Arabidopsis thaliana: one gene and its partners. The protein of the gene in region 1 binds, or shares a complex with, the protein of each later gene. Each region holds a gene or a part of one and is shown on either strand. Other genes may lie near its edges.

Region 1 (4,554 bases):
TTACTTGTTTGGATGTATCTGCTGATTGCCACAAGTTTTGTTTTTGTGGGGTTGTTTAATTCTGATAATCACTATTGTTTCTTTGTTAGAAGAATTGATACTTTATTGGACTTTGGACGGTCGTTAATTCGTGTGCTTTGTTTTCATATAGCTAATTGCTTTTCAGCTGGTGAGAGGATGAAGACAAGGTCGCCCTCCGTGATTGTGATCGGAGGTGGTTTCGGTGGGATTTCAGCTGCTCGCACTCTTCAGGATGCTTCCTTTCAGGTTTGTGATGTTTCATGTTTTATACAATATATCCTGATAGCTGATTTTGATATCTCTTTCTCACGGTGTGGTTCTTGGTGTTTAGGTTATGGTACTGGAGTCCCGTGACAGAATTGGTGGACGAGTTCACACTGATTACTCATTTGGTTTTCCTGTTGATCTTGGTGCATCATGGTAATCTCACGGCTCTTTCATCCTGTCATTAGATGATGTTTTGGTTTTGGTTTTTGGTTAACTTTAGGCTAACACAGCAACATCGTTATGTCACAGGCTGCATGGAGTATGCAAGGAGAATCCTCTCGCACCAGTTATTGGAAGACTTGGACTGCCCTTGTATCGTACTAGCGGTGACAATTCCGTCCTGTATGATCATGATCTCGAGAGGTTTGCTTGAATATTTCGATTTTGTTACCTCCATCTTTTTATTCTTGTTTGACACCTTAAAACTCACAGTGCAATTCTTTTGTTTCTGTAGCTATGCTCTGTTTGATATGGATGGCAACCAAGTTCCTCAAGAATTGGTAACTCAGATTGGCGTAACGTTTGAGCGTATTTTGGAAGAGGTATGTCCTTCACATTCATTTAGATTTCTTCTTTATTCCTATTCTCGTATTTCTTGATGTTGCAAGTCTTTGATTGATGCTCATGCTAACTAGATTCGTCTATTGCAAACACAGATCAATAAAGTCAGGGATGAGCAGGATGCTGACATTTCAATTTCTCAGGCTTTCTCAATTGTCTTTTCTAGGAAACCCGAGCTGAGGTTTGTATACATAATGTCTCATTTTCTCAATTTCTTTAGGCAATGCACTTTTGCAAGCTTGGTTTCATGGTTGAATTTTGAATTTTCACATCCAGGTTAGAGGGGCTTGCACACAACGTACTTCAATGGTATGTATGCCGCATGGAAGGATGGTTTGCCGCAGATGCTGAAACCATCTCTGCAAAGTGTTGGGACCAGGTTAGTTACATTCTTTCTCTCGTAGTTAAGAGTTTTTTTTGTATAGACTGCTTCTTGAATTTTTGGTTTAACACTCCGAGAAATGTGCAGGAGGAATTGTTGCCTGGTGGACACGGTCTTATGGTTAGAGGGTATCGTCCTGTCATCAATACTCTGGCGAAAGGTCTTGATATCCGAGTAGGCCACAGGTAAGCTTTTGCGTTTTTCAAGAGTTATGGCATTCGTTTAGTGTTTCACAGTCATAACCTCGTGTTTCTCCTTCTCTCAGGGTTACTAAGATTGTCAGGCGGTACAATGGAGTGAAGGTAACGACAGAAAACGGGCAAACTTTTGTTGCGGATGCTGCAGTCATTGCTGTCCCTCTTGGAGTTTTAAAATCGGGAACCATAAAGTTCGAACCTAAGCTACCTGAGTGGAAACAAGAAGCAATCAACGACCTAGGAGTAGGTATTGAGAACAAGATCATACTACATTTTGAGAAAGTCTTTTGGCCGAAAGTAGAGTTTCTAGGAGTGGTAGCTGAAACCTCCTACGGTTGCAGTTATTTTTTGAACCTGCACAAGGCCACGGGTCATCCGGTTCTGGTTTACATGCCGGCTGGTCAGCTTGCCAAAGACATTGAGAAAATGTCTGATGAAGCAGCTGCAAATTTCGCCGTCTTGCAACTCCAGAGAATTCTTCCCGATGCATTGCCTCCGGTACAGTATCTCGTGTCGAGGTGGGGATCTGATGTGAATTCAATGGGATCTTATAGCTATGATATCGTGGGCAAACCTCATGATCTCTACGAGAGGCTTAGGGTTCCAGTGGATAACTTATTCTTTGCCGGTGAAGCGACGAGCTCGAGCTTCCCGGGCTCGGTTCACGGCGCTTATTCAACTGGATTGATGGCAGCTGAAGATTGTAGGATGCGAGTTCTGGAGCGGTATGGTGAGTTGGATCTGTTCCAGCCTGTGATGGGCGAGGAAGGACCTGCCTCTGTACCTCTTCTTATATCTCGTCTCTAAACTCCATCAGTTATCGTTTACTAGAAGGAACCTCAAGTGATGATTGTCTTAATATGAAACTAAAATTATTCTCGTGTCGGATCGTTTAAAACATTCCCAGTCTTATTTTCTCAGTGTTTTTAATTCAATAAATTGGAACATTATATCCTTGTGATATTATTTATATATGATAATCATCTTTAAGAATTCAAGTACTATTTTCTTTTCTCACTTGTGCTAACTAATATAAACACCAATCTTGAAAGAGGTTAAATTGAATACAATAAGAAGAAAAAATACAAAATGAATAAAATCAGATTTAAAGGACCGATGTTGCAAAAGGTAAACCACCGTGTTTTGTAAATATGAGTATCTTCAGCGGTATAATAATAAATTTCATAACTGGAGAAGAAGATAAGAGTGTGGCACAGAGCTTTATCCTCTCTCAGAGTTTCTTCTCCTCTGTGAATCTCCGACAATGGCGATAGCTATGGCGGTTGTTTCTTTCCCATCTCTGCTCAACAAAACAACCTTATCCTCTTCACTCTTCACTCCCACTTTCCTCCCGGCGAAATCCTCTTCACTTCTCATCAAATCATCACCAAAAACCAGATTCGTGGTTTCATCATCCATGGAAGCTGGAATCGGAGTAATGGGGTCAAAACTCGGGATGATGAGTTTCTTCGAAGAAGACGGCACAGTAGTTCCAGTAACAGTCGTCGGATTCCGCGAAGGTAACATCGTAACCCAAATCAAAACCCTAGCCACAGACGGTTACGACGCGGTTCAAATCGGTTACCGTCGTGTACGCGACAAAAAGCTAACTAAACCGGAAACCGGTCATCTCCAAAAAGCCGGTACAATCCCAATGAGACATCTCCAAGAGTTCAGATTAACAAACATCGAAGGATTCGAACCGAACCAGAAGCTTGTGTTCGATGAGATATTCAAAGAAGGTGATCTCGTTGATGTAGCTGGAACCACAATTGGTAAAGGGTTTCAAGGAGGAATCAAAAGGCATCATTTCAAGAGAGGTCAGATGACTCATGGTTCCAAGAGTCATCGAGCTTTGGGTTCGATTGGTGCTGGTACTACTCCGGGAAGAGTTTATAAAGGGAAGAAGATGCCTGGAAGAATGGGAGGGACGAGGACAAAGATTAGGAAGCTTAAGATTGTTAAAGTTGATAAGGAGCTTAATGTTGTCATGATCAAAGGTGCTTTGCCTGGTAAGCCTGGGAATCTTCTTCGTATTACTCCCGCTAAAATCGTCGGAGTTAACATTCCCAAGAACTAGTAGAGAAGAGACTCTGTTTTGTTTTGTAATGTTGACTTGTGTTTATCCATTCCTTGAAAATTTGTATCGAATTGCTAAATCACAGTTTCTTTCTTAGAATTGGAGTTTTTGTATAAGTCGGAAGTATTTCTATGCTAATGTTCTTGAATTGTGATTCAACTGCGATTACAAAACTCGAAAGCGTATCCAAAATTCAGCATCTAAAGTTCTAAACATAAAGAACTAACGAACAATGTAATATATATTTAGTTTGAAGAAATTAAGAAGGTTTAAAATTGTACATGAGATGACAGACAAAAAATGAACATATGAATATAAATCTTTATGATGGATTTTTAAAGAATGGTTGAGAAGCTTTCAATAGGATCAGACTCTTCAAGCATAGAAGCAGCTTGGAAGCAATCAGTAGCATCAGCTATACGTCCATCAGATTTATGAACCATTCCTAAGTAATACCAAGCTTTTCGGTTTGTTGGATCGATCCTCAATGCATCAGAGAGCAAACTTCTAGCCACGGGGAGAGTTGGCTGATGATCTTTCCCTCTTTCGGACAATAACGCTCCAACCGCTACTTTGCAAGGAACCGATGATCCGTCTAGTAATAAACCGTCCAAGAAAGCTGCTAGCGCGGGTTTGAACTCCTTTCGTCCTTCCCACATTCGACCTGATCATTCCCAAAGATTCAAACCAAATTTGAGTAAATCAAGTAATGGATGATTCTAAGAGATTAGTTAAATGGCTTCTTGTTCTTGCCTTCTGTATGCAACATTGAAGCAGAGTATTGTTTCAGCTCTCCGGCTTTTTTCAGACAGACTTCTACGTCGTTCCAATGCGAAAGGCTTGAGTAAAGATAAGCCAAGCCATGCCACACTTCAAACTCATTCACTTTGTCTTCCTCCATCTGTGTTATTGTACAAGTTCTTCAATAAAAAAAAAAAAAGGTTTTGATTGATGATCTCAATAGATTAGAGAACAAAAGAGATTTTGAAACCTGAGAAAGAGTTCTGAGAGGTCCGAAAGATTTCCTTTGCGCTTGAACCAATGCA
Region 2 (5,381 bases), on another chromosome or scaffold:
GCACTTGTTTCCAAGAATGGGATCCCAAGTTCATCTGCAAAAGCCTGTGGGACAAGGAGATGAGACAACAAAAATGTTATTCTCTTTAAGACAAGGTTTACGTGGATAGAGAGTTCACCTAGTTTATTATAAAATTACCTTAGCTGTCTCAGTGGATACAACTTTCTGTGAAGTGAGATCGTTCTTGTTCCCAACCAGTAGCTTGTTCACATTTTCGCTAGCGTAACGGTCAATTTCATTCAGCCATTGTTTGACGTTGTTGAAGCTCTCTAGGTCTGTGACATCATAAGTGACCTGCAAAGATAGGCAATTGTGAGCAAGAGGTATAGGATGTGTTATTTAACAAGAAGATGATTGGTTGGTTAGAGTAAGAGTACATACAATGATCCCATGAGCTCCTCTGTAGTAGCTGCTAGTGATTGTCCTGAAACGTTCTTGGCCTGCTGTGTCCCACTGTATACACAGGCGATTACCAAAACAAGAGTAACTATCTGCTCTTTCCAAAATTTTAACAGATTATGATTGCATATCTAGCTGAAGAACACTTACGATCTGGAGTTTGATGGTCTTTCCGTCCTGCTCAACTGTGCGAATTTTCTGCATGATATCATTAGTAAAGGTTAACACTTATTATTCTGATTCCTGTATATAAATGAGTGATGAGCAAATGAAGGTGCTTACAAAGTCAACACCAATGGTGCTTATGTAGCTATCCAGGTAAGAATCATCCTGTCCACATAAAATTCAAGATATCAGGAAATAAGAACACAAAGGAGTAACAATGATACCATAGTGAGAACTAAGCTAATCCAATGGAGTAATGACTTTTGAGTTTTGAGTCTTGAGCAACAGGTATTGAACTCCAAGATGTGATCCTCAAATTTTTGTGTGTACACAATGTTAAAAAGTAACTACCAGAGATGATGAATCCAGAATTGTGGGAATACTTACAGCAAATCTTAGAAGCAAGCATGATTTTCCAACACCAGAATCACCAATAAGCAGAAGCTTGAACAGATAGTCACTGCAACAACAGAACGGTAAACACCAATCTCAGTGAAGCTCATAAACTCATGAAAATTCGGGTCAGGAAATAAAAACGCAAGAACATCTATATACAATATGCTAATGAGATCAAAGGGAAAATTGTGTCACACTCGCGAATTTCAACTACAACAGTAAACAGAAATTGCAGATCTCGATCAAATTTCCTCGGATCTGACCTGTATAAGATCCATGGAACGAAAATCCAAATCTATACAAAATTCTAATACAAAATACCTTAAACGAGCAAAATTAGGTAGATTCAATTCACAAACCTAACAACCAACAAAGATCCAAAGCAAAATCGAACAAAAACCAAATCACCAAACACATCAAAAAATAAAAAACGCGGATCGATCCGAAACAATAGATACATGAAACAACGAGAAGACAAGTTTCTTACTATTCAGGATTCATTATCCCTCAACGAGAATCTGACGATTAAAGGAATCTCCGGCAGTCAATTCAGCGATCGTCGTCGGCCAAAAAAACGAGAGAGACGTGAATGTTCTTTTTTTTTTCTTCTATGTGGCTTTGGCTTATTAAGTGCTCTTTTTGTCAATGACACGGTTAAGAAAAAAGAAAAAAAGGGACCCACTCTTTTCGACATTTAAATGCGTTTTGGTTTTGATGTTTGAATGCTGACGTGGCCGAGCCAACTCAGAGAGATGCGTGGAGGACAAAAGAATCAATCAATCTTTTTTCTTCTTCTTTGTCGATTTTTGTTCTTTTCTTTTTTGATTCTATACAATCGGAGAATAACTATCTTTAGGAGATTAAAATTTCGTATCCAATTAATGTAACTTTTTATATGTATGCTAATATTACGTACTGTTGTCAAGCTTTTAATTAAACCACCTGTAAGAGAATATATATTCGTTTCACAAAGAAAGAAGATGGAATATTTTGATTATTATCTTTTTGGTATTCTGATTAAACTAACATATAATAGCTTTTCATCGCTTGCGGTGTAAGTCAATGTAACGTGAACATGTAGACGACTTGAATATACAACATAGTCACATAGAATAATATTTCAACTCCAGCAGAAATTTATTCGTCAATCATAACTTTTAAAAGGCCCAAAGTAGATTATTTAGAGCTATCAATTTAAGGACACATAAACATACATTTGTTTGTAACAGAAACTCTTTATTTAAACCATTTTTGGTTCTACATTAGTGTACTTGGACAAGCCTTGGTTCGTGGTGGTAGACTGGTAGAACCAGCTTTGGTAATGGGTTTCTTGTTATATCAATTGAATATGGGCCTAAATGTCTAGGCCCATAAAATTAGTAAATGGCCCATAAATTGAAATACACGGAGCGGATAAGCGATAAGGCTCTTCTTTACTCTGGTTTCGAGTTTGGGTTGTGCAAACATGGCGACGAGCTCTCATCTTCTTCCTCAGGTTCTTCTTCTTCACTCTCTCACGCTCAATCACATTTTCATACTTATGCTTCTTTGAATTCTGTATTTATCTACCATTTATGGAACCAGGCATTGCATATGATACCGAGAACCCCTTCTTTCTCGTCGAAGAATTTAGGGGTTTCTTCAATTCTACCACGAGCATCATCAGTGAACTCAAGACTATCAGTTTCTAGGGTTTTTCTCAATCATTCGAGCTCCAATTTTGGTTTCGCCATCGATTCCAAGAAGAGAAAAGAGTTTATCGCTAAAGCTGAAGAGAGTACTGAAGGTGAAACTGAGGCTGTTGTGGAGAATGCTGTTGAAACTGAAGCGGAAGGAGAAGGAGAAGCCACTGTTGCGGCGGAGGAAGCTAAACCTCCGTGGAAGACGAGAGTCAAGCTCGGAGATATCATGGGGGTTAGTTCATTATCCAATGTGATTCTATGAGATTGTCTAGTGTTTTGTTTTGGCTCTGAATCTGATTATACATGTCTGATACTGTAGTTGTTTTGGCTCCTGTTCTTAAATCATCAGTTATCTTTTAGGCATTGGAGAAATGAAATGTTGATTTGCTTTTTGTTTCTGTAGCTACTGAACAAGAAAGCTATTGAGGTTGCAGAGACTGTAAGACCGGTTCCTGGACTTAGGACTGGGGATATTGTAGAAATCAAACTGGTAAAACTCATTGTCCCCGTATAATCTTATGCAATTTATGCATTTAACTGCAAGATTTTGATACGACATGGTGGGTTTGATTTTACAGGAAGTTCCTGAGAACAAACGTAGGCTATCTATCTACAAAGGTATTGTGATGTCTAGACAAAATGCAGGCATCCACACTACTATCCGTATCCGGAGGATTATTGCAGGCATTGGTGTTGAAATCGTCTTTCCCATGTAAGTTTATTCTTCCTTAACTATCCTATTATCACACACTTACTCGGGTATATTGATAAGTATAAATGTAAATAGTATTAGATAGTCAGAGTTAAGGGTCTTTGACCTTGTTAAGGAGTCTTTTGGCTTTGAGAGAGATTTTAGGAACTCTAAAACAAACCGGAATTAGCTTCTTTTATCGTGAACAGTCATAGTCTTCGCTTCTTGAGAACTTAAGAGATTTACAATTCTATATCTGATCATATGTATTAGCTTTCTTCACGAAAAAAGGAAATAATTGCTACTCCAAGTATGATACTATAGGAACTAGTACATAAATGCTGGAAGTCTTAGCATTATAGGTCACCAAGCTTTGTGCTTATTTACTACAGAAACGCGCACCAACCTTTAATCTTAATCACTCTAGAGTCTAGCCGTTATCATAACATACTAGTCCCTATGAACTTTCCAGTACTATTGGCTGATTCTACAATGAAGTAATATGTAACTGATATGTTTTGATCTTGAACAGATACTAATCTACACAATCAAGTAATATGTTTTGATCTTGGTTTAGAATATGTATCTGATGTGATGTGTGTTTTGAATTTAACAGATACTCTCCCAACATAAAGGAGATAAAAGTGGTAAGTCACAGGAAAGTGAGAAGAGCAAGACTTTACTATCTGAGGGACAAACTTCCTCGTCTCTCAACTTTTAAATGATCACCAAACCCAACACCAGTCTTGTCTTGTGTTGTCTTCAATCTCCAAAGGTAGCTAGCTACTCTCTTTTCTCTTGTAATAATTGTTTGTTTGTTTCGTCTTTTGGATTTCATTTCTTTTCATGTAATTTACAGTAACAGTAATTTAAGAAAAGTAAATCAATGTTGATTGTTTTGATCTTGAGTATGTAGAATCTGGACCCTTTAGTATTCTTTTTCAGAAATATGACTGATTTAATCATTAAAATAAAACTTTTGAATCATTGAAATTGCTTTTCAAAATAGATTTTTTACATGTAAAATCATGTAATTCATTCATGTAAATGAATTTTCCAGCTAAAGCAGGAAAAAAGAAACGAATGATTGAGTATTTTTCTTGTCTCTTTCCTCTGTATGATGACTTTTATGTCCGATAATTAATTACTTGCTAACAATCAATCATTAATGGACACGGAGAAATAAATTTAAAATATCATCAATCGTGAGAGACGAAAAATGGCCTACCACCCTGAAAGCTCATTATAGCCTTTTTAGCCACTATATAAAATCAAACACCAATCAATATCTGCCACGTCATCATCCTCTTTTTTCCAGCCTGTCGCTTTTAACCTTTGTTTTTTCGTCTCTTACAATGCACAACTGTTTTCACACGTGTCACATTTTTCCCTCTCTTCTCTCTCTTTCGCTCTTTCTTCTTCCCCGCAGTTCCCGGAGACGACGCCGGAGGAAAATCGTACGGAAACTTTGCTTCGACTTCACGTGGCCGCTCCACGAAGCGCCTTTGGGTTTCGTCTTCCCCGTTTCTCTTTCTCTCTCTTCTTTTGCCTTTGTTACCACGAATAGAACGAGAGGAGAGAGATAGGAGGAGAGTTTTGGGATATTGGTGGAGAGCGATTATCGGGAGAGCCAGAGAAAAAAATAAGCAGCTTCTTCCTCCCTCATCGTTGGGACCGTGACTTTTGTTTTCTTCAGGTTTGATCCGTCTTTTTTTCCTCTCTTCATTTCTCAGTTTTTCCCCTCTTTTTACCTTTTCTGGAAAAAAGTTAGATAAAATCGGAATTGTTTGGATTAGGGCTTCGATTTTTTGATGTTGTTGTATACTTTTTTCAATAGAGATTTGATTGTGAAACTTTTGTCGTCGTAGCTTTAAGCAAACAAAAAAAAAAGATGACCGGCGTTGGCGAGAATCAGCTTATCTCCATTCAACCTGATGAACTCAAATTTCTCTGTAAGCATTCTTCTACACTCTCTTCGTTAATCAATGGCATGCATTTGTCTCATCTATACTTGGTTAATTCTAGGGATATCTATTCTTAATTTGTGA
Region 3 (4,318 bases), on another chromosome or scaffold:
GTTATGTAATGTTTACAATAATGGTCATCTATTTACTGGAAAACTTTCAGATTGGAAGAACTGCTTTTGACGAATTCCTCAAGAAATACATTGCTACTTTCAAGTTCAAGTCAATCGATACAAACACATTTCTTGAATTCCTGAAAGCAAACATCCCTGGCATAGAGAAAGAGATCAATCTACAGCTGTGGACTGAGGGCGTTGGTATACCAGAGGATGCATATGAACCAGTCTCAACCATTTACACAAAGATCATATCCCTGGCGAAAGAGTTTAAGGAAGGAAAGATGCCAAGTGAGGATGATGTTGCTGAGTGGAACGGACAGGAATGGGAGCTGTACTTGGAGAATCTTCCTAAATCATGTGAACCTTCTCAGGTACTCTTTACTCCTTTCTTCCTCTAAGTTAATGGGAGCTGTACTTGGAGCTGTACTTGCTGAGTGAATCTTTATTTCTTCCTCTAAGATAATGGGAAATGGCTTGACTTAGGTTGAACTACTCAATAAGCTTACATAAGGAGGAGAAAAAGGCCTAACTAACTGTCAGTTAGGTTAGCTCAATAGTTACTCTTGGATTAATGTGGGGCTAGTGAATAATGATTGTGGAAAAACCCTCTTGGCTTTGGGAGAGTTCATGATTGTGGAAAGTGTATTGGCTTTGCAAGAGTTAGGATCTTATCTTGTTTGTTAATGACAATGCTAGTCAACAAAGGAAGGATTGGTGATCAGGTTCAAACCTATGGCTAACACCCACTTTGCTCATTGATGAATCAGGTCATGGCCTTGGACAAGCGGTACAGACTGGCAGAATCGAAAGACTATGAAGTGAAGGTCTCGTTTCTGCAACTTGCAGTCACATCCAAGTGCAGAGAGTACCATGGGGAAGTGAAGAAAACACTAAAAGAGGTAGGAAGGATGAAGTACCTGCGTCCACTCTTCACTGCTCTTGCACAATCTGGTGGAACAGAAGAGAAGCAGCTGGCAAAACAGGTGTTTGCAGAAGCTCGAGAAACTTATCACCCCATAGCTCAGGGAGTTGTTGAATCTATCCTCTCTAAGTACATCTAAACAAGACCGTTATGATAGCTTGAGAGCACTCCGAAAAACAACATTTCAATAAAACTCAGTCACTGTAATAACAATTGGTGCTTGAGAGAGTCATAAACAAAAAATTGAATTGCCTTTTGTTGCGTACATTACATTCTCCAAAAGATTAGTACAAGCTTAACTATGCATTACTCTCATCTTCCAACTTCTTAATGTAAGCCATAAGCACCATTATAACCTCTCTTGCTGGTGCTTGTAAAGTAGTGACGAGATTAATAGCCGGAGATTGCAGAGCACCGAGCATCTTAGCGTAGACCTCAGCACGAGTGGGCATGGTCTCGAGGACTTTGAAATTGTCAGGAGCGTAGAACTTACCTTCGAAGACAGCGCCGGCAAAGTCATTGTTTTCAAGCTTGCGTTCCTTCTGGAAGCTCCGGTAGGGTTTGATAGCAGAAGGGATTTCATCGGTCTGGACGAAAAGCCAAGCGTTCATGCCTTTCATACAAGGCTTGAGAGCTTCCCATTTGGTGCCTTCAATGGCTTTGAAGACCAAAGTGTTCTTGGCGACGATGAGCTTTGTAGTGTCGGGGAGAGTTCTCCGGAGGTCTTGAAACTGCTTGACGGTGAGGCCTTTGTAGTTGATGGCGGCGAGGAGATGGCAGTTCTCCAAGTGAGACTTGACGGCTTCGACAGTCTCTTCCTTCTTGTTACGAGACACCGCGGATCTGATGACCGGGAGGCGAGGGTAATTTGGGGAATTCGAGGTTTTGGGTGTGAGAGTTGAGATTCGCTGGTGACAGAGAGGAGACAAGGAAGAAGAGAAGGAGAGAAGAGCCACTTCCATTTTTTTGCTCAGAAGATGAGGAGACTGTTTCTAGCTGTGTGGAGGAAGAAGATAGATGAACAACAACACAATCCTCCACTAAGCAATTTTATTTTTTTATTTTTCTTAAATGGAAAATAAAATTTATGGATAAAAAAAGGGTTAATAGACGGAATTAGTAACTCCGTCTAATTTAACGCATTGTGTCTTTTAGTCTCTGCTTCTGAATTCTGAACGCAATCCATTGGTAAACTAATCAAATAACTAGACCCAAAATAATTCTATTTTCTTTCTCGGAATTATGGAAGATGTCTCGTCTCGTGTCAAACAAATAATTTTGTAATTTACTACTCAAGTTCATAATTTAACCATTACAAGAAAAAACAGACAAGAAGGGAAGTAAAGGGAGAAGGAAAAAAAAATTAGGCAAAATATTGTTGCTGTATGGATTTGTCCCTATGGTTTGTGTTTTGTGTGTGGATGTGAGTTAGAGAGTGTCCCAATTAGGGATAGTCGCAGTAGCTTCATTCACCATCTTCACAAGTGTCACCTGCACCATCACACAATATGTTATTAAGGACAGTCATTCAATATTACGGTTCTCACTCTCACACTTGATTGACCACAAGCAAAACCGTAACTCCTGAAGATATTACAACTACTTCTAACAGACTTATGCATATCATCTCCCCGGAAAGTAAAACCATTGCAAATTCACAAACTACATCAAACTATGGACGACCATTTGTGTATGACGTTGCTATTTAGTCTCCGGAATCCACTAAACCAATGGACATGATACAAATAAGTTCCCCTTTGAGCTATGAATGGACCTTACTGCAGTATCTTGTTTTAAGCACGATCAGATTATAGAGGTTTATATATAACATACCACACTTTCGGGAACACCGGGAGGCGGCAAGGACATGTTCCTTGGAGGAGGACCCCGCAAATGTGATCTCTTATCGAATCGCCACTCTCCTATTTTGCCATATGTCAGCTCCCCCTGTATTTAACAGTCAGCAAAACTTAGTAGTGACTAAAAAGAGAACCTAATGACCTTAAGTAAAAACAAATGACCACAAGATGTGAAATCTGTTCCTAATTTATCAGCCAAAAATTAAAATTAAACAATCGTGTCAAACAGAAAATCACCTTCATGTTGTAGTCGCATCCATAAGTGTAATGAATGATAAACTTCCCCTTGGTAGACAAATCCCACGGAGGCTGAAAGATATTGTGAGAGAACTTAGGAATATGGAGCAGAGAAACAACTTTTGTAACTTTGACAAAACAAAAGTATCTTCGACATAGAATATGTTATCACTAAGGTATCAGCACAAGGTCGATTCTTACCTGAAGCATGAAATCCTTCCGAAGTATGTGACGCACCCCATGTATAGCAGATGCAATTGCGTAACCGTACCTTATCAAACAGAAAAGAGAAGAATAAAGTAGTCAGTTAACAATGATGGGATTCAAAAGGTGGAGAGCCAATTCATGATTTAAGATTCTTGTTTCTTGTGCTAACATTTCCAGCACCCATCCAAATGCCTTATCAGTTTCTGGATCGTTTTTCATTGTCAGCGAGACATTCATCCATGTAGGAGCAATCTTTTCAAGTGATTCCTGCATCAGAAAGTAAATGCATGTCAACATCAATTTTAATGCATGAACAGAACAAACAGAACATATTCCTGGACACCAACATCACATCTAGCTAAACGCCTCTGAAAATCTTTGGGGCCCAAGTCAAATAACACATATACAAACAGTATAGCACAGATAATCTCACCTTGCTTATGATAACAGGAGAGTTGCCAATGGGGTCGATATTTGTTACTGGCCCCATCTCCGCTGGATAATACTTTCTGACTATGTTTTCATACTTTTCAGGAGTAATATAGAAAAACGGAAAAGCGGCTGGGAATCCTCCAACAGCCAAATTGGGAAGGGGATTAACAAATACATGATCAGGCTCTGCCATGAGCACATAGCTGCACCAACAGTAAGATGCAGGAGATTTAGCAAACAGTAGAATGTTAGTTGGAAGGAAGAGAGAAATGACAGGACTTACTCTTCCTTGATGGTAGCTCTTTCAAGCCATTGCACGAATGCCCATGGTCTATTCAAGACAACATACCCCTAAATACAAGATTACAAGATTACAAAAAAGAGTGAATCAGTGATAAACCATCAACAAAAAGTGAGACCAAATGGAGAAACGGGAATAAAATAAAAATTCTTACCCGATCAAGACCTGGAGGAAGAGGATCAACCACAAATGTGGGTATTTCATCCATCAAGTTATCAGAATTACCGGAATGCAAAATACGGGTGAAGCCACCCATATCAGAACCAGGAAGAGCTTTCTTCTGCTTATACCAATAATACATAATACGACACTGCCACTTATTATAAGGTGCATCTGTAGCTGTTAAGGCAACAT
Region 4 (4,373 bases), on another chromosome or scaffold:
CCAGGTCCAAATGATGCTGGTTTGAATGTTGTTGATGGATTGGTTTGGAAACCAGAGGGACCTGTGATCATTTGCAAAAGAGGTTTCAGATGATGGCGAGTCTCTTGGCCTTTAAGCAAAGTTTAACATTAGAAGTAGTACCTGAAGGAACAGGTTGAGGAGTGTTGACGCTGAAAGCATTTGGTTGTTTATTAAAGCTTGCAAAGGCATTCGGAGGTCCAGATGAACTATGTAGAGGAATCATTGGCCAGAGAGAAATATGGAAACAGAGTTTTCATGAAGGCACCCCTTTACGGAATTTGGAAAATGGAGAAAGCCCACAAAAGTTGATACCTGAGACCACCAGCGTTGGTATTGGAGAATGCAGTTTGTTGATTATTTGATTGTTGAGTAAAGCTTGCAAAGGGGTTCGGAGGTCCAGATGAACTATGCAGAGGAATAGTTGGCCAAAGAGAAATATGGGAACCAAGAGGTTATAAAGGTAACACAAACTTGTTTGAATATGGAATATGGAGAAAGTTAGTACCTGACTCCACCAGCATTGGTATTGGGGAATGTAGTTTGTTGATTGAAGCTTGCAAAGGCATTCGGAGGTCCAGATGAACTATGTCGAGGAAAAATGGAAACCGAGAGTTAGTTTGAAGGCAACACAAACTTTTTGGGATATGAAAATTGGAGAAATCCCACAAAAGTTGATACCTGAGTCCACCCGCATTGGTATTGGAGAATGCAGTTTGTTGATTAAAGCCAGAGAATGCTGGAGAAGGGGAATTGATCTGACTGGACTGAGGGAAGATACTAGGAGTGGTTGCAGCAAACGGGCTTTGATTGGCGGTAACAGAGCCTTTGTATGGATTCCGTAGAAAGTTTTCAAACTCGGCTATTTTGGAATTTTGCAGATTCCTCTCCCTTTCAACCTATATAATGCACCATAATAAGCCAGGAAAAGAGGAAATCAACTTATGTCTTATCAGTATGAAATGAAAACCAGTGTAAAGTATAACAAACACAAGAAAGGTTAATCTCACAATCGACTGTAGAGGTATTCCTCGTTTAGCTTCTTCATATGCCACTGCACGTAGTTCTTCATAGCTGATATCACCGGTAACATCACATGGAAAACTAGAAGAAAAAAAAGATAGAAAAAATCAGACACGTTTATAAAGAATGGATAAAGATCAAGGATGCTAAACCAAATGAAGTAATACATACTATTTCCAGTGGCCGTAGCATGTGAGCTTCCACATGGGTCTCTCATTCTTAAAATCGTCTTGCATTACCCGCTTACACGCAGCAGGATCTGTGCATCTTTGTATAGTAACCAAGAGAGAAACAGTAAATTTCCAAAGAAACAAACGGCTAAAAGGATGATAATTGATAGAACAAGCATATGTAAACATATATACACTCACTTATGATCTGCCGGCTGCGTCTGTTTACCAGTCTGCTGTGTAGAAGCAGCAGCACCACCACCAGTAGGTGTAGAAGCCGTTCGTGACCAAGTATTCTGATTTGCAAAAGCATCATCATGTCACCATTCATTCAACAGGCAAAATGCTTTCGTTTCTTAAAGAAGATGCACCATTTTTCTCATCCAAAGCCGAACGATAACTTGCATTCTATCAAAGCAATACTTGCATCTTAAAAGAGGAAAAAAACAAATTGACCTGGAACTGATTCGGTCTGCTGGAACCACCACTTTGTACACCAAATCCAAAAGGGTTCGAACTATTTTGTTGCTGCTGCTGCTGTTGTTGTTGTTGGTTTTGTGTACCAAAGCCAAAGGGATTATTTGGCTTAGCTTGTTGTGGATGAAGAAATCTACAGTTTTCCCCATACCTACAACTGCAAAAACAGCACAAAGGACGATGAGTCCAATAATTACGTCTCTAAGCTTCTACTATCACTAATCATAACTTCCGAAGCAAATCAACCCTCATTAATGGCGGAAACGAAGATTAGAATCTATCAAAGTCAATAAACTGTATGATTCATTTAGATTTCAGCTCAATAGACATCGTTTTCTAACACATTACCACCTTCGCACATCGATTGATTTCAAATTAAACCCCAGAATATAGAACACGAAACCTAAACTTCAGCAATCGAAACAAACTTCAAAAACTCTTATAAAACAACAAATTGAATCAAAACAAAAACTAGAACAGATGAAGAAGAAGATGATGATGATGAAAAGAGTATTTACCTGCCACGCTGAAAGTTTCTACACAGTTCCTTCCTCATACTCGCAGCTAAAACCTTCGAACTGTGTACGTATGTGCGTATATATATATGTAGTTTTGCTTCTCTCGAGAAAAATGAAGAAGCGTTAGATTGACGAAGAGTGTATCAACAGAACAAAAGGAAGTCTCTATGTAAATTACCATATTACCCTTACATATCTTCAAAGTATTTAGGGTTATAAACGTAACTCCAATACACTTCATCATCCTCATTCTCTTATCCATCAATCGTTACTTCGTTTCTTCTCTATCACCAGGAAAAAAGAAGAAGATAGCTCCTGAAGACAAAAATGGCGGTTTCTCTCCCGAACTCGTTTCTTCAGATTAGCCCATGTGTTCCTTCTCTGCAATTAAGAAAGGTAAGCTCGAAATCGATTTCTCATTCTTCGTCTATTTCTCCTCCTTCCCCAAAATCACTAAATTTGTTTGTGTTTTTTTTTCAAAATTAGCCGGTGATGGCGGCAGTGAAAGGAGGAAAACAATCGGTGAGAAGAAGCAGCAATACGGTGGTTCAGATAACGTGTCGTAAGAAGGAATTGCATCCTGAATTCCACGAAGACGCAAAGGTTTACTGCAATGGAGAGCTGGTGATGACTACAGGAGGAACAAAGAAAGAGTATGTGGTTGATGTATGGTCAGGTAACCATCCGTTTTACCTCGGGAATCGTTCGGCTTTGATGGTTGATGCTGATCAAGTTGAGAAGTTTCGTAAGAGGTTCGCTGGGCTTTCTGAGATTATGGAGATTCCTGTGCTTAAAGGAGAAATCATTATGCCTACTAAGAAAAGTAAAGGTCCCAAAGGGAAGAAGAAATGATGAGTCTTTTCTGGTAAAGCTTATGTCTTTGAATTTGTTGTCTTTTCAATTGAAGTCGAGATACTGCTTAGGCTGTTAAAAATTGTATGTGAATTTTCTTCTGAATGCTATTGGTTATGCTTTCTTTAAGATCTATTTGGTTTCATTGAGAGTGAGACTAGGATCTCAGAGCAATGATACAAGTAGTAGCGAATCTCAAGGACAAATCTTTAGCTTGTGAGTTTGGCATGAATTTGTGATGGATAATAGATAGATATACACTGGTGAGAGAAACATAGCAACAATGCCTATGAAATGGTAATTGCAAATGAAAGAAAGGTTGTGGCTTTTGCCACATTTTGTGATAATCTTGGAAAGTTATGGCATGAGATTAATGACTAGTGTAGGTAGTTGTTGTTGATGTGTAAGTGGTGTGTTGATTAGTTGATTGAGATCATTTTTACATAGATTTATAAGATGTTGAACATGATGATCATGGTCTATGTAAGTGTCTGCTGAAGTTATCAGGCAAAACATTTGTCTTCTGACGACGAAGTGGCGTACTAATAGTGAGCAGATTCTTGAACTGTGGCCATGGCGTAGGAGTATGTTTTGCTTGAGAACATAAAAGAAAATTTTTGGCACTTGAAGTTGAAGATTCTGTGATCATGCCCAATTGTATACTACTACTGAATTTGTGTGACCAATATTGAACAGAAACAGAATACTCCAGCTCAATCAGAGGTTTTACCAATATCAAGCCAAACCAATATCAGGCCGTCTCAAGCCCATTTGAAGACAGTCGAATGTGTGGGCTATTTTAGGCCCATTTCCTCTCAGCTGGAGTCTTCTGCTTCTTAACTAAGCTACCAAAGTTTTCACTGAAGTTCAAAAGGAAAACCTGTGGGCTTTTTAATCCGTTAGTAAATTGGGTTTTGACATCTCTACATACTTCATATGCTGATCGATGCAGTTGAATCTGAATAATTGAGTTAAACTAAATTCATTCGTTGGTTGAAGTCTTAGATCCTTTCTTATCAATGATTTGCGATCTTGACTAAAATTGAGTCTTAAAATATTATCTTAAAGACTTTAGACACACAAAAAGAAGGTGTTTTAAGATAAACTAATGGTCTCCTGTTTCCTAGCATAAGATTGATGAAAGACGCTGTGTTGGGTTAGTTAAACTATATGTCTAACCATATCTAATTAGTTTGTTAATTATGTTGGAATAAATACAATGTGTTGGATTAAATAAATTTTAATTTTGCTGGGACAAATACAATTTAAATGTTCGTTGCGTTCATTTGTCGAAAATAATGCACTTCGTATGTTT

What was found.
Region 2: AT2G43030 (region 1) and AT5G47190 share a complex: the UniProt entries of both Arabidopsis thaliana proteins name them as parts of the 50S ribosomal subunit.
Region 3: AT2G43030 (region 1) and EMB3136 share a complex: the UniProt entries of both Arabidopsis thaliana proteins name them as parts of the 50S ribosomal subunit.
Region 4: AT2G43030 (region 1) and emb2184 share a complex: the UniProt entries of both Arabidopsis thaliana proteins name them as parts of the 50S ribosomal subunit.

What each region holds. Positions count from the first base shown.
Region 1 is NC_003071.7:17,892,206-17,896,759, forward strand, and holds AT2G43030 (Ribosomal protein L3 family protein), read left to right. Parts: upstream 1-2,590; 5' UTR 2,591-2,692; coding exon 2,693-3,508; 3' UTR 3,509-3,677; downstream 3,678-4,554. Other genes in the region: PAO2 (polyamine oxidase 2), read left to right, coding at 152-267, 353-441, 538-651, 743-830, 945-1,030, 1,126-1,228, 1,319-1,416, 1,497-2,235; NPG1 (tetratricopeptide repeat (TPR)-containing protein), read right to left, coding at 3,844-4,172, 4,262-4,409, 4,500-4,554. UniProt on the Arabidopsis thaliana protein: One of the primary rRNA binding proteins, it binds directly near the 3'-end of the 23S rRNA, where it nucleates assembly of the 50S subunit.
Region 2 is NC_003076.8:19,163,109-19,168,489, reverse strand, and holds AT5G47190 (Ribosomal protein L19 family protein), read left to right. Parts: upstream 1-2,354; 5' UTR 2,355-2,425; coding exon 2,426-2,455; intron 2,456-2,544; coding exon 2,545-2,874; intron 2,875-3,045; coding exon 3,046-3,132; intron 3,133-3,220; coding exon 3,221-3,354; intron 3,355-3,949; coding exon 3,950-4,058; 3' UTR 4,059-4,306; downstream 4,307-5,381. Other genes in the region: RAB1A (RAB GTPase homolog 1A), read right to left, coding at 1-44, 139-294, 382-453, 550-597, 682-729, 952-1,024, 1,448-1,461; AT5G47180 (Plant VAMP (vesicle-associated membrane protein) family protein), read left to right, coding at 5,225-5,285. UniProt on the Arabidopsis thaliana protein: Located at the 30S-50S ribosomal subunit interface and binds directly to 23S ribosomal RNA.
Region 3 is NC_003076.8:4,338,866-4,343,183, reverse strand, and holds EMB3136 (Ribosomal protein L10 family protein), read right to left. Parts: upstream 1,923-4,318; 5' UTR 1,891-1,922; coding exon 1,228-1,890; 3' UTR 1,089-1,227; downstream 1-1,088. Other genes in the region: AT5G13520 (peptidase M1 family protein), read left to right, coding at 51-377, 774-1,067; AT5G13500 (Hyp O-arabinosyltransferase-like protein), read right to left, coding at 2,357-2,419, 2,762-2,875, 3,025-3,096, 3,226-3,295, 3,401-3,498, 3,665-3,866, 3,947-4,014, 4,119-4,318. UniProt on the Arabidopsis thaliana protein: This protein binds directly to 23S ribosomal RNA.
Region 4 is NC_003070.9:28,269,630-28,274,002, forward strand, and holds emb2184 (Ribosomal protein L31), read left to right. Parts: upstream 1-2,441; 5' UTR 2,442-2,533; coding exon 2,534-2,602; intron 2,603-2,692; coding exon 2,693-3,058; 3' UTR 3,059-3,380; downstream 3,381-4,373. Other genes in the region: AT1G75340 (Zinc finger C-x8-C-x5-C-x3-H type family protein), read right to left, coding at 1-61, 142-227, 334-426, 527-604, 700-917, 1,029-1,122, 1,213-1,308, 1,413-1,507 and 2 more. UniProt on the Arabidopsis thaliana protein: Binds the 23S rRNA.